Linked DNA regions of Macaca fascicularis. The protein of the gene in region 1 interacts with the protein of each later gene in a pairwise test. Links are inferred from orthologs where the notes say so. Each region holds a gene or a part of one and is shown on either strand. Other genes may lie near its edges.

Region 1 (3,746 bases):
CCTCATTTTTTAGGAAGACAATTTAACTCAGATTTCATATCACATGCATCCAAAATAATCATAACTGACCCAAAGATGTTTGGCCTCTACAGTTAGGGCAGCCATGCTCAGAAGAGTATGCAAGGGTACCCTATTGTCTTGGAAAAGGGAAGCACTGAGACTATTTGCGATTTGAGAACTGAAAATGCAAATCTGCTAACCATCGTGAGAGTGAATATCCAGGTATAGAAAGCACAGTGGGTGGGCGTAGGTTGTGGTAGGGACATGTTTGTATGGGGCAAACACAGAGATTAAACTTAAGTGTAGTTCCAGCTGCCTGGAAGAATGCTAAGAAGGGTCTGAAACTATTGAGCTCCAAGAGCCCTTGGACCTCCTGATGAGAGACCGTTGGCTGATGCCCTCGATGGGACATCCCTGCTGGCTCCTGTGGGATCTGCATCTACGCACACCTACATCATTTGACTGATTTGAAAAGACAGGTTGTCAACAGCGACACCATGTGGCTATAAGATACAATCAAAATGGTGGACATTTACAGCCTGAGGTAGGGCCTGAAGCTTCGTCGAGATGTGGAAAATGCTGAATCGGAAGAAATGTCATCAACAAACATTTATTGGGGTCCTCCAAATGTCAGCTGCTACAGTGGTCAGCCAGGTCTGGAACATCGAGAACATGCTGACCCGTACCCCAGCAAGAGCTCGTAGTAGCGGCGGGGTAGGGGGCGAGAGAGAGGGCAGTCTCTGGAGGCCAGGTAACCCAGGCTTCACTTTCACCTACGGCCACAAGTATGTCTGACATCTTCCAGGCAAATAAGGCTCCATGTAAGTGACAGGGTACCTAAGGAGAGCGATGGAAACGCCAGCTTGCCCACGACTAGCCGACGCCTGCGTTTGCGATAAGCCCCGCCCCCAGTAGCTGAGCCAACCGGAGGGTGCGGGGCGGACCCAGCTTCCGGGTGAGGCTGGAGAGAATCGTTTGGGGGCGTTCGCAGGCTAAAGAGGGGCTGGCCCTCGACGCGCTCGGGCTCGATTGGCCGCCCTTCCCCGGCGGAGGTAACGGTCGCGGAGGCGGGGCCTGATGTAGTAATCCCAGCCTAGCCGGGGCCGGGCTGGCTGCTGGTGGGAGGCGGCGACTGAGGAAGGTGAGTGGCGCTCGGGGCTCTCAGAGGTGTAGTCGTGAGCCCCTTCTCGGAGCACCCCGGACTTGACCTCACCTGGGCCTAACAGTGGTCAGACTGACCCTTGTCAGGGAGGAGCCGCCTGGGATAGGGTCGCGCCAATTACAAATCCCTGCGTAAGGGTTTGGGGATGGGACAAACCTGCGTGCTAGCCCCAGCTCCCCAGGCTTTGTGTTCTTTGGCTTCTCCTTTAATGTCTCAGCGCCTCGGATTCTTTATTTGTATACTAAAGCTGGTAATTCTCGCCTTACAAAGTGGTTGTGTGGGTTAAATGAGGCAGTAAGAGTAAAGCTTAGAATCACAGCGGGCACAGGTTCGATTTAAGCTGTAGGTAATTACTCCATCCCCCAAAATCGACCCGGACTGAAGCGCCCGTTTTGTGGCAAACAACCGCGAAGGTGGTTTGGGGAGTGAGGACTCGGAGCAGAAGGGGGCGGTTAGGCGAATAGCACAGGTGAGTATCTCTTTCTCTGGTTTATTAACCTCATTCCGGATTCAGGAGACCTCTGACTTTATACAGGGCCTAATAGGAGTTTTTCAAGGTGAAAAATGTCGGAAGGCTAAGACACCTGTAACAGAGAGACCTGAGTTTCCTTTTTTACTGCCACTGTTTTTCAATCAGTGTTTCAATCACTGTTAATATTAAACAGGCCGGGCGCAGTGGCTCACGCCTGTAATCTCAGCACTTTGGGAGGCCGAGGTGAGCGGATCACCTGAGGTCAGGAGTTCGAGACCACCCTGGCCAACATGGTGAAACCACCATGTCTCTACTAAAAATACAAAAATTAGCCGGGCGTGGTGGTGCGCGCCTGTAATCCAGCAACTCGGGAGGCTGAGGCAGGAGAATCGCTTGAACTCGGGAGGCGGAGGTTGCTGGGAGCTGAGATCGTGCCACTGCACTCCAGCCTGGAGAGCGAGGTTCCGTATCAAAAAAAAAAAAAAAAAATATATATATATATATATATATATATGTATGAATATTATATTAAACACTGTGCAGGCATTATCCATATTGGTTTCAAGCCTCTGCAATGAGTTTTGTACTTTAAATATTGCCAAGTAGACTCTGGCCTCCCCTAACCCTGCCTTTTGGGGAAGAGGTGGCTGACTTGGAGTTTTCCCTACAGCTTTTGCTTCAAAGCAAGGTTCTGCCGCTTCATGTCACCTCTCGCGAGACAGAATGATTTGGTTGAGATGACATTCCATTTTAACTCTTTCCTATTTGGGGTAGGTTCAACTCTTTCTTAGGAACATTAAACAGCAAGTTGCCATATTTTCAGAATAGAGCTTTTGCATTTAATAAGGAATAGAGACTTCGAAAGGGTTACATGTTCATTTATTGCAGTAATTTGAAGTATATGCTTTTGAAGACGCTTACAGATTTTGTTGTGATTCAGTTGAGAAGGAACAGTTACTGGCCATGGTTTATTGTCAGCTCCCCTCCCCGACCCCAAATGGTGAAAAGATAATTAAATTTTAAGGTATGGAGCATGTTACAAGGGACTTCAGACCTATAAAGGGCAATTTGGCTGAAACACTCGGGAAACCTAGAAAGTGTCAGAAGATACAATTATGTTTTTGCTTTTCTATGCCTGGCTTACTATGCCATGTACAAGACAACTCCTACCCTCTGACTCCTACCCCCACCATCTTATTTTAAGTGTATTATGACACTAATTAAAGCTGTAGCTTCTGTTTTGGCCCTAGAAGGCATTTGGTCTCTTCCTGTGACTTTAAAAGTTCCAGACCTTTGTCCTGGAAGTAGGGACAGCCTGTAGTGGGGAAAAGGCTGCTGCAAACTATTGGCCTGTTAATTTCATAGAATGGACCTCTGAAAAGGAGGGTTTGGTCACAGGTGCAAATGAGGAGTAGTTTTGTTCCTGTGTTTGCTTTTGTGATCAGTTGTAGTTTGTCTGAGGATGCTTCATTTTAGTATCCTTGCAAATGAGAATATCCTACCTGTGGAGCCGGAAGTCAGAATTGATGATAGATGATGATAGATTTGGATACCCAGCTAAATGTCTTAGCAAGGTAGGGAGAGGAAAGATAAGGGGAGAGAAGAGAAGGGAAGAGGTGTATGGTAGTGAGCTGGGAAGGGCATTAGCAGTTATTTCAGTTGTGCCTGGTTTATCTGTGATTACCAGTACCATGGATGCCTGCTCTGGGAGTAACAGAAGACCATTCTTACTAGGAAGCTGAACATTTCAAGATTTTCTTCTTTTTATCTTTTTGAAACCTAGATGAAGATCCAGTTTCAGACATGAGACTCGTTGGGTGATCATTTCATTGAGATCAACCTGAATGACCAGGTGTAAAGTGCAAGAGTAGTATGCTATGACTGAGGTATGTCTAATGTAACGGATGACTCCAGATGTTGGGAGACCACGGAAAAGTATGTAATTTGTTGAGTACTATACTAGGTTCATTACATATATTTCCTTTGGACTTCCTGATAATCCTATCAGGTAGATATTTTACAACTTAGCAAAGAAGCTGAAGCTCAGAGAGGTTAAGTACCTACTTAAGATAACACAGAAAGCTGATCACCAACTCTAATCACTGTCTCCAT
Region 2 (3,746 bases), on another chromosome or scaffold:
GCCACGACTACAGGTGCACGCTGCCACGCCCGGCTAATTTTTTTGTTTTTTTTTTTAGTAGATACGGGGTTTCACCGTGTTAGCCAGGATGGTCTCTATCCCCTGACCTCGTGATCCGCCCACCTCGGCCTCCCAAAGTGCTGAGATTACAGGCGTGAGCCACCGCGCCCGGCCAATCTGCTGAATTTTGGGGGTAATCTGCCACACTGCAGTAAATAACTACCAGCGATGACCAAACTTTTACCCTTCCAGACCTTGCAGACCAGGCAGCTAACACTTCCCATCCCACGGTCTCAGGAAACACCACTTTCCACTCCTGTGTCCCCGACAGGAATCATCAGACAAGTCGAACTCTCACCTTCTCAAGCAACACAACCCACCCTCCTGGCCTAGCCCGCTCCTGAAGCCTCACTCAGTCTCACCTCAGCCCCTACGCAATTCCTCTCAGTTGTCAGGCCTCCATCGGCGGGGGTCGAGTGTTGTGTGTGACCCCAGGTCTCCAGCAAGGTATAGTGGGAGGGAAGCATCCGGGAGAAGAGAGGTGGATTGGCCTCTCCCTCTCCCCCATACCGCCACCCTCCCTCACGCCCATATCCTGTCCAAGGCTCTTCCCGCGTCTGCTTCTGAAATCCCTCCACATCCCTCCACCCCATGTGCCCTACTCGTTGCACAGGAGCAGAGAGAACCGCAGAACACACGTCTACGATTATGCCACTCTTCAGATTTACATCTTGCAGCAACTTCCCACTGCGTTAGAACGGAAGTAAACCTCCCAACTCACAGACCTCACCCGAGCCCCCACGTCCCGCGTCGCCGGCCTCTCAACCGACGGTGCCCTGATCCTCTCGGAGCGAGCGCCGCGGGCTGCGCCGGGTCCCAGGCCTGCGCCTCTTCCCCATTTCCCAGGGGTCTTTGCCGACCACCCTCCTGCGCCACAGCTGCTCAAGTTCTGTTTACTTGCTTTTCCCTCCCCACCAAAAGGTGAGCCTTGAGAAGACACACCCTTGTGTAGAGCTTTGAACTTTTATCCGGAAAGGTGCCGGGCACATAGTCGGTGCCCGGGAGCACTTGCGAGACCGCCCTGCAGCCTCTTTCCGGATCCCCCAGGCACCCCCGACCCCGGCCTCGCCCCACCCTGCCCTCGCCCCAGCCCCGCCCTGCCCTCGCCCCAGCCCCCGCCCCAGCCCCGCCCCGACCCTGTCTCAGCTTCGCCTGGGCTTCATCCCGCCCCAGCCTCGCCCAGCCCCTCCTCTCCTCTCCCCGCCCGTCCCCTTCCCGCCCCCGCCCCGCCTCGCCTAGCCCCGCCCCAGCCCCGTCCCAGCTTCGCCTGAGCCAGGTCCCAGCCCCGTCCCACCTTCGCCGCGCCCCAGCTTCATCCCGCCCCAGCCTCGCCCCTTCCCCTCAGGGCCCCCGCGCCCCGCCCCGCCCCGCCCCGCCCGCGACCCTGCGGAACCTAGAGTCGCAGGCGCCCTCTTGGAGGACGGAATTCGACGTCGGACTCCGCCTCGCGTAGTTCCGGTGGCGACTGCGGAGCATGGCGGTGAGCGGTGTGGAGAAGACGCGCGGGTGGCTGGGCGTCGCACTGTCGGTGGCCCTCCGTGACCCTCGTGCTGCCCCCCTTTCTCCAGGCCCTAGGACATCTTGCCGGGGAGGCAGCGGCGGCCCCAGGCCCGGGTACTCCCTGCGCGTCCCGCAGACACCGGCTTCCCGGCCTGGTTTCCAGCGTCCGGAATCCCTCCACTGTCTGTCTCTGCCCAGGGCAACCCACGAGCAGTAACGCCGACCCCAGAGCGCACCCGTTAGGCGATGAAGGCAGTGCAGCGTCGAAAAAACAAAAGAATAAGAAGAAAACCCGGAACAGGGCCTCTGTGGCAAATGGAGGCGAGAAGGCCTCAGAGAAACCCGCCCCAGAAGAAGTGCCCCTAAGCGCTGAGGCCCAGGCAAGGGCGGGCGTCAGTCAGGAAGGGTGGAATCCCCTAGTGCGAATCCACGGGCACATGTGATCTGGGGTCCGCAGAGTTAAGGCGGGGAGGGGGATGGGATGGGGCCAGGCGCTGTTTTGTGTCCCAGTGCCCTCTCACAGCCACTTCCCCAAATCCGTCACAGGCGCAGCAGTTGGCCCAGGAATTGGCTTGGTGTGTGGAACAACTGGAGCTTGGCCTCAAGAGGCAGAAACCCACCCCAAAACAGAGTAAGGGACCTTTCTATAGAGTTGGGGAATGTGAAGAGTGGCACCGCCTGGCCTGCAGGTGCTGGCAGAGGTGAAGTTGTTTCCTTTGCGGTGGGGCGGTAGGAGGTCAGTAGTAGAGGTTTTCACTAGTCCTTTGTTTTTATTCGCAGAAGAGCAGGCTATTGGAGCAATCCGAACCCTGCGCAGCAAAAGAACGCCCCTGCCCCGGAAGAGGCAGTTGATGCACTCCTTGTTTGGAGACTATAGGGCTCAGATGGAAGCCGAATGGCGTGAGGCCCTGCGGGCTCTCAGATCTGGTGAGGAGCTAGTAACTGGTTGATTTAGGAAGGCCTAATTTAAGGAGGAAGTGCCTAGGGGGTGAAAGGAAGAAGGCCCAGAGCAACAAGGCTGGTGGGGGAAGGAGATGAGCTCAGGGAAGCCTGAGGGAACAGGGAAAGAGCAAGGATGGACCTGTCTCTCCTTTTCCCAGGACTGAACCTGGGAAGCAGCGGGGAGGTCATGGGAGGAGCGGGAAAGAGTGTGACCCTGTGTTGGTCCTGCTCCTGGCTTGGGGAAAGCTGCGTTATGTTTTTGTGTCTTGGCTCTCTCTACTGGCAACGAAGCCATATCCCATAACAGTTTGAGTGCAATTCCTGGAGCCAGATGAGCTAGGTTCAAATCCTGGATCTACCACATAGTAGTACTAACACCTTTTGCAAACTACTGAACCTCTCTAAATGGGCGGTGATAGTAATATCAACCTTACAAATTTGAGGAATTAGTTAATTTATTCAAAGTGGTTAGAATTGTATGGGCAAACATAACTGTACAGGTAATGTTAGCTGTTGTTATTCAGTTCTCACATACGCTGCTTCTCTCCCCTGACAGCTGCTTATTTAGCCCAGGTGCAGCCTGTAGATGGAGCCACCAGAAAGAAGAGCCGAAGGGTCTGCAGGCCTCGCCCTATAGGGCGAAGCAAAGCCACTCTGGACACTCCTGATGAAGAGTTTCGGTTCAATTTCTTTTAGCTTCTCCCCCGACCTGGAACATTCCCCCTCCCTTGGGGTGGTGTAGGGGTTTGTTTTGAGTGCAGAGCCTTTTCAGGACTTCTGTTGGCAGAGAACCCTGGGGTTGGTCTGTCCCTGGCTGGTCCAAGTATTTAGAGCTGTTGTGAAGGTGTGAGACCATCAGATAGGCAAAAGACCCCATTTGTTTTGTGATGAAATGTTCTCTCTTTCAGAACAGAGAGAGGTGCATTTAGAAAATATACAATAAATTGAAGTGACTGTTTGAAGTATTGTAGAAAGAATATTGTACTCAGTCTTTAGGATTAGATTAAGTGGCTGTTGGTAACAAAGATTAGTGGAGAAGCTATATAATTATACACTGTTTTTCACTTTTGAAAGGAATTCCTGTCAAATGGTTTAGTGCTTAATGCTGTTATGTCACATTGCCCTAGTCTTTATTTTTGATAAAATTGGATAACGAGTGAAAGAGTGTGCTGACCACCTGTGTTAGAGGAAGTACAGAAGACGGCAGGGGTCTGGTTCCCTGGGTCCAGTCCCTTGCCTCGATC
Region 3 (3,661 bases), on another chromosome or scaffold:
TTTGCCCCCTCCTCATCCTGAGGCCTCAAAGACATTTCTAAGAATGCTATGGCTCTGTGGGGTAATTTGAAAACCAACAATCTAGCCTCACCCCTTGGGAAACTGAGACTGAGAATGGAAAGGACTTATTCACAGTCTTACAGTTAGTTAGAGGCAAAAACTGGCACTGGAACTCAGTCACATTTCCTAAAACCTTGTCTGGGGCTCTGCAATTTCTCAGTTGCTGTGATGAGGATGATTGCCTCTTATTCTGTCTAAACTCCCAAGTAAGCTCCCTAGAATGACTTTCATGGCCCCTGTCCCATCTATATCTCTCAGTATGAAGCCTGAGGCCACACTGGGGTCGGAAGATGGGGGAAGCTGGAAACATCTTCCTGGGCCAAACAAGGCTTCTGGAAGGGATCTGTGAGTACATTCCCCTCCCTACCTCAGCCCCTTCTGTCCAGGGGTGTGAGTGAGAGATGAAAGGAGAGAGTAATCAACCAGCTCCTCCTGGTCAGGAAGCCTGGGCAAGGAGGAATCCTGTGCTGTCCAGATCTGAGACGTGCAGAAGCTCTTCAGGAAAGTGGAGTTCACTGCTTTGGAGGTCAGGAAGGTTTGCCCCGGGAAGGCCACCTGTAGGTGTGTACCTAGGGAAGAGTGAACCCCACATCTGTGGGGCAAAGGGCAGTGGCCACAGCTGGGCCCTTTGCTCAAATCACCTTCCCCAGGTATGCTACATCCACAGGCCTGCACTTGCCTCTGCTCCTCCCCATAGAAGTACAGGCACAGGCACATAGAACTCATGCAAACACTCTTACGTATCACATATACAAATACATGCAAACATTCACAAAGGCACAAAAACACCCACGTGCACATAAAATAAACACATATACAGATGCTCCTCAACTTGTGATGAGGTTATTTACCAATAAATCCATTGTAAGTTGAAAATGTGATAGGTCAAAAATGCTTTTAATACACCTAGCCTACCAAGCATCATAGCTTAACCTAGCTTGCCTTAAACTTGTTCAGAACACTTACATTAGCCAAGAGTTTGGCAAAATCTTCTACTACAAAGCCTATTTTGTAATAAAGTGTTGAATTTTATGGAATACTGTACTGAAAGCATAGCACTTTCACACCATCATAAATCAAACCATCCTAAGTCAGGGACTAGCTGTACATGTACACGCCATCCACACACAAACTCCAAACTTCCCCAACAGTGTCCGCCTGCAGGAATAGGTGTGTCTACACACAACTACACATGCAAAACACAGGGCCCAGCTGAGAGAAGGATAAAGGAGGCTGTGGAGGAAGTCAAGAGACCAGCTGGGGATCAGCTAGAACAAGCAGCCACTGTACCACAAATAAAAACTACAAAGACAAAAGAAAGGACATTTCAGTGGACCCCAAACTTTTCTAGTATCTTTCCTCACCCACAACCCATTCCCCAGGGGCCAGACCCACTCAGATTAGAGGAATTATCTCTTCTTCAAATCAAAAAAAAAGAAAGAAGAAAGAAGAAGGAAGAAAGAAGGAAGGGAGAAGGGAGAAGGGGAGGGGGAGGGGGAGGATGAGGAGGAGGAGGAGAAGGAGAAGGAGAAGGAGGAGAAGAAAGAAGCACCCCAGCCAGGCACAGCGCCCAGGAGTGAGTTCTGTGCTATTGGGTCATACTCTCTGACCTGACTTGAATTTATCCTATGACTTTGGTCAGGCCCCCAGTCTTTTCTGAGTCTCCATCTGCTCATCTAGAAAATGTCCGGTCTCCTGAGACATTAGGGGATTGGGGAGCCACCTCTGATCCCCAGGTGGGATTGGGGGGACACGGGGTATGAGGGGAAAGAAATGTTTTCTAAAAGAGCCAAGGACAGCAGAAACGTAAGCCCCAAACCCGAGGAAGCTCCAGTGGAGAAGATGAAGGTCGGAGGGGTGGGGTGAGAGAGGACAGGCCTGGAGGAGCAGGAGGGGCCCCAGCATTTACCTCCTTCTCGGCCTTGGCCTCCTCCACCGTCACGGTGCTATGATTCTTGTGCTCTTGGAACATGCAAAGGTAGCAGATGCAGGTCTGGTCAGTCTGGCAAAAGAGCTCCATGGTCTTGCCATGCACGGGACACTTGCGGGCCTCAAAGTCCCGGATGGGCTCGAGCAGCTGGTGGTCTCGGAAGGCGGCGCCCTCCAGGTGGGGCTTGAGGTGCAGCTCGCAGAAGGAGGCCTGGCACACCAGGCAGGACTTGACCGCCTTCTGCTTGTTGCCGATGCAGGAGTCGCACAGCACCTCCTCGGAGCCGGACTTGGACCGTGAAAAAAGGCCCGTGTCGGCCCGGGGGTAGCTGTTCCGCCGGGTCTCCCCGGGCTCCATGATGGACACCGCGGGCTTCCGGGACTCTGAGAAAATGGACTTGCGCAGCTCGCCCTTTTCGGCAAAGGTAACGGGTGGCTTCTTGGCAGCCCCCAGCTGGAGCCCTGCGTACGGCGACCTCTTGCCTTCCATAGAGTCCATGCTGAAGTAGTTGGAGTTCTTGTCCTCCCCGGACTCGACAAACTGGATGATGGGTCGCCGCCACTCATTGCCCGCGAACAGGGCGCTCCTCCCTTCCCCTGGCTTCAGGGCACTGCCCAGGCTCTTGCCCTCAGCTGCCTCCCCGCCGTGCCCGTTGGTGGTCTTGGCATCCTTGCCGTCAGCCTTGGTGCCATTCTCCAGGCTGCCATTGGGGCCCGACGGGCTCCGGGCATCCCTGGCTTCTGGGCTCGACCCGTTGCTCCTGGAGGCATCTGCAGCTTCCATCTCAGGATGCTTGGCTGATCTGTTTCAGGCTTGCTGGGGTTCAGGATAGGTGGCCTTTCTGGCTGGCGTCTCGGCAGGGAGTGGGGCAGGCAGCCACAGGGCCTAGAGACACACCTGTGAGGAGGAGGAGGGGGAGTAGGCGGAGGAGGAGGAGTGGGAGGAGGGGAGGAGCAACAGGCACAAGCCTGACACAGCGGGCCGGGAGAAGCAGGCAGCCCCGCAGCCAGCAGAGCAGATAATTACACAGGAACCACGCCCTACACATTCATCCCTAACCTGATTTTTAAAAGAAGTATTTTTTTCTCCCCCAGCTTAATTATTTTCTACAACTCAGCAACCAGTTGGGCTGCTTCCCTCTGACGCACTTGCTTCTCATCCAGGGAGCCGGGAGTCTCTGTCTTCACAGGTGGGCAGGCTTCACTGCACCCAGAGGCCCCTGGGGCAGAAGGTGAGGTGTCTGCAGAGGCCTAAGGGACATAGGGCTGTTAACTGGGTCACACAAGTCAAATAGCCTTGTAATTTGCGGGCCTGAGTTTCAGAGGAAAGATTGTCCACCCTGGGACTGTAACGCTGCTTTTCACCTTAAGGGGGAAGGATGGGTTCCGTTTGATTTGGCTGCTGATTATTGAACCCTACTCGCCAACCTCCAGGCACTTTTCTAGGTATTGCGTATATACAAGCTCATTCGAGCTTCCCTAAAACCTGTTCAATTACCCCCTTTTAATAGATGAGAAAACTGGGCCTTTAAGAAGATAACTCACTGGCCTAAGTCAAGTGGCAGAGCTGAGATTTGAACCCTAAGCCTTTTAGAAGCCAAAGCCCCTTCTTCAGCTGAGGGGTCATGGAGTCACCTGAATATCTCACCGGAAGATGGCTTCTGAGAGTCTG

The links.
Region 2: the proteins of CEP70 (region 1) and UPF0488 protein C8orf33 interact in binary tests that used the Homo sapiens proteins (3 or more experiments, as listed by UniProt). The link is inferred for Macaca fascicularis from reciprocal best matches to the Homo sapiens genes CEP70 and C8orf33.
Region 3: the proteins of CEP70 (region 1) and TRIM29 interact in binary tests that used the Homo sapiens proteins (3 or more experiments, as listed by UniProt). The two-hybrid records come from large-scale screens. The link is inferred for Macaca fascicularis from reciprocal best matches to the Homo sapiens genes CEP70 and TRIM29.

What each region holds. Positions count from the first base shown.
Region 1 is NC_088376.1:41,434,084-41,437,829, reverse strand, and holds the start of CEP70 (centrosomal protein of 70 kDa), read left to right. Parts: upstream 1-1,054; 5' UTR 1,055-1,631; intron 1,632-3,417; 5' UTR 3,418-3,511; coding exon of another isoform or gene 3,512-3,520; intron 3,521-3,746.
Region 2 is NC_088382.1:154,738,934-154,742,679, forward strand, and holds UPF0488 protein C8orf33, read left to right. Parts: upstream 1-1,511; 5' UTR 1,512-1,534; coding exon 1,535-1,540; intron 1,541-1,628; coding exon 1,629-1,940; intron 1,941-2,106; coding exon 2,107-2,191; exon of another isoform or gene 2,192-2,261; intron 2,262-2,340; coding exon 2,341-2,487; intron 2,488-3,058; coding exon 3,059-3,198; 3' UTR 3,199-3,664; downstream 3,665-3,746.
Region 3 is NC_088388.1:118,999,636-119,003,296, forward strand, and holds the start of TRIM29 (tripartite motif-containing protein 29), read right to left. Parts: upstream 2,856-3,661; 5' UTR 2,774-2,855; coding exon 1,970-2,773; intron 1-1,969.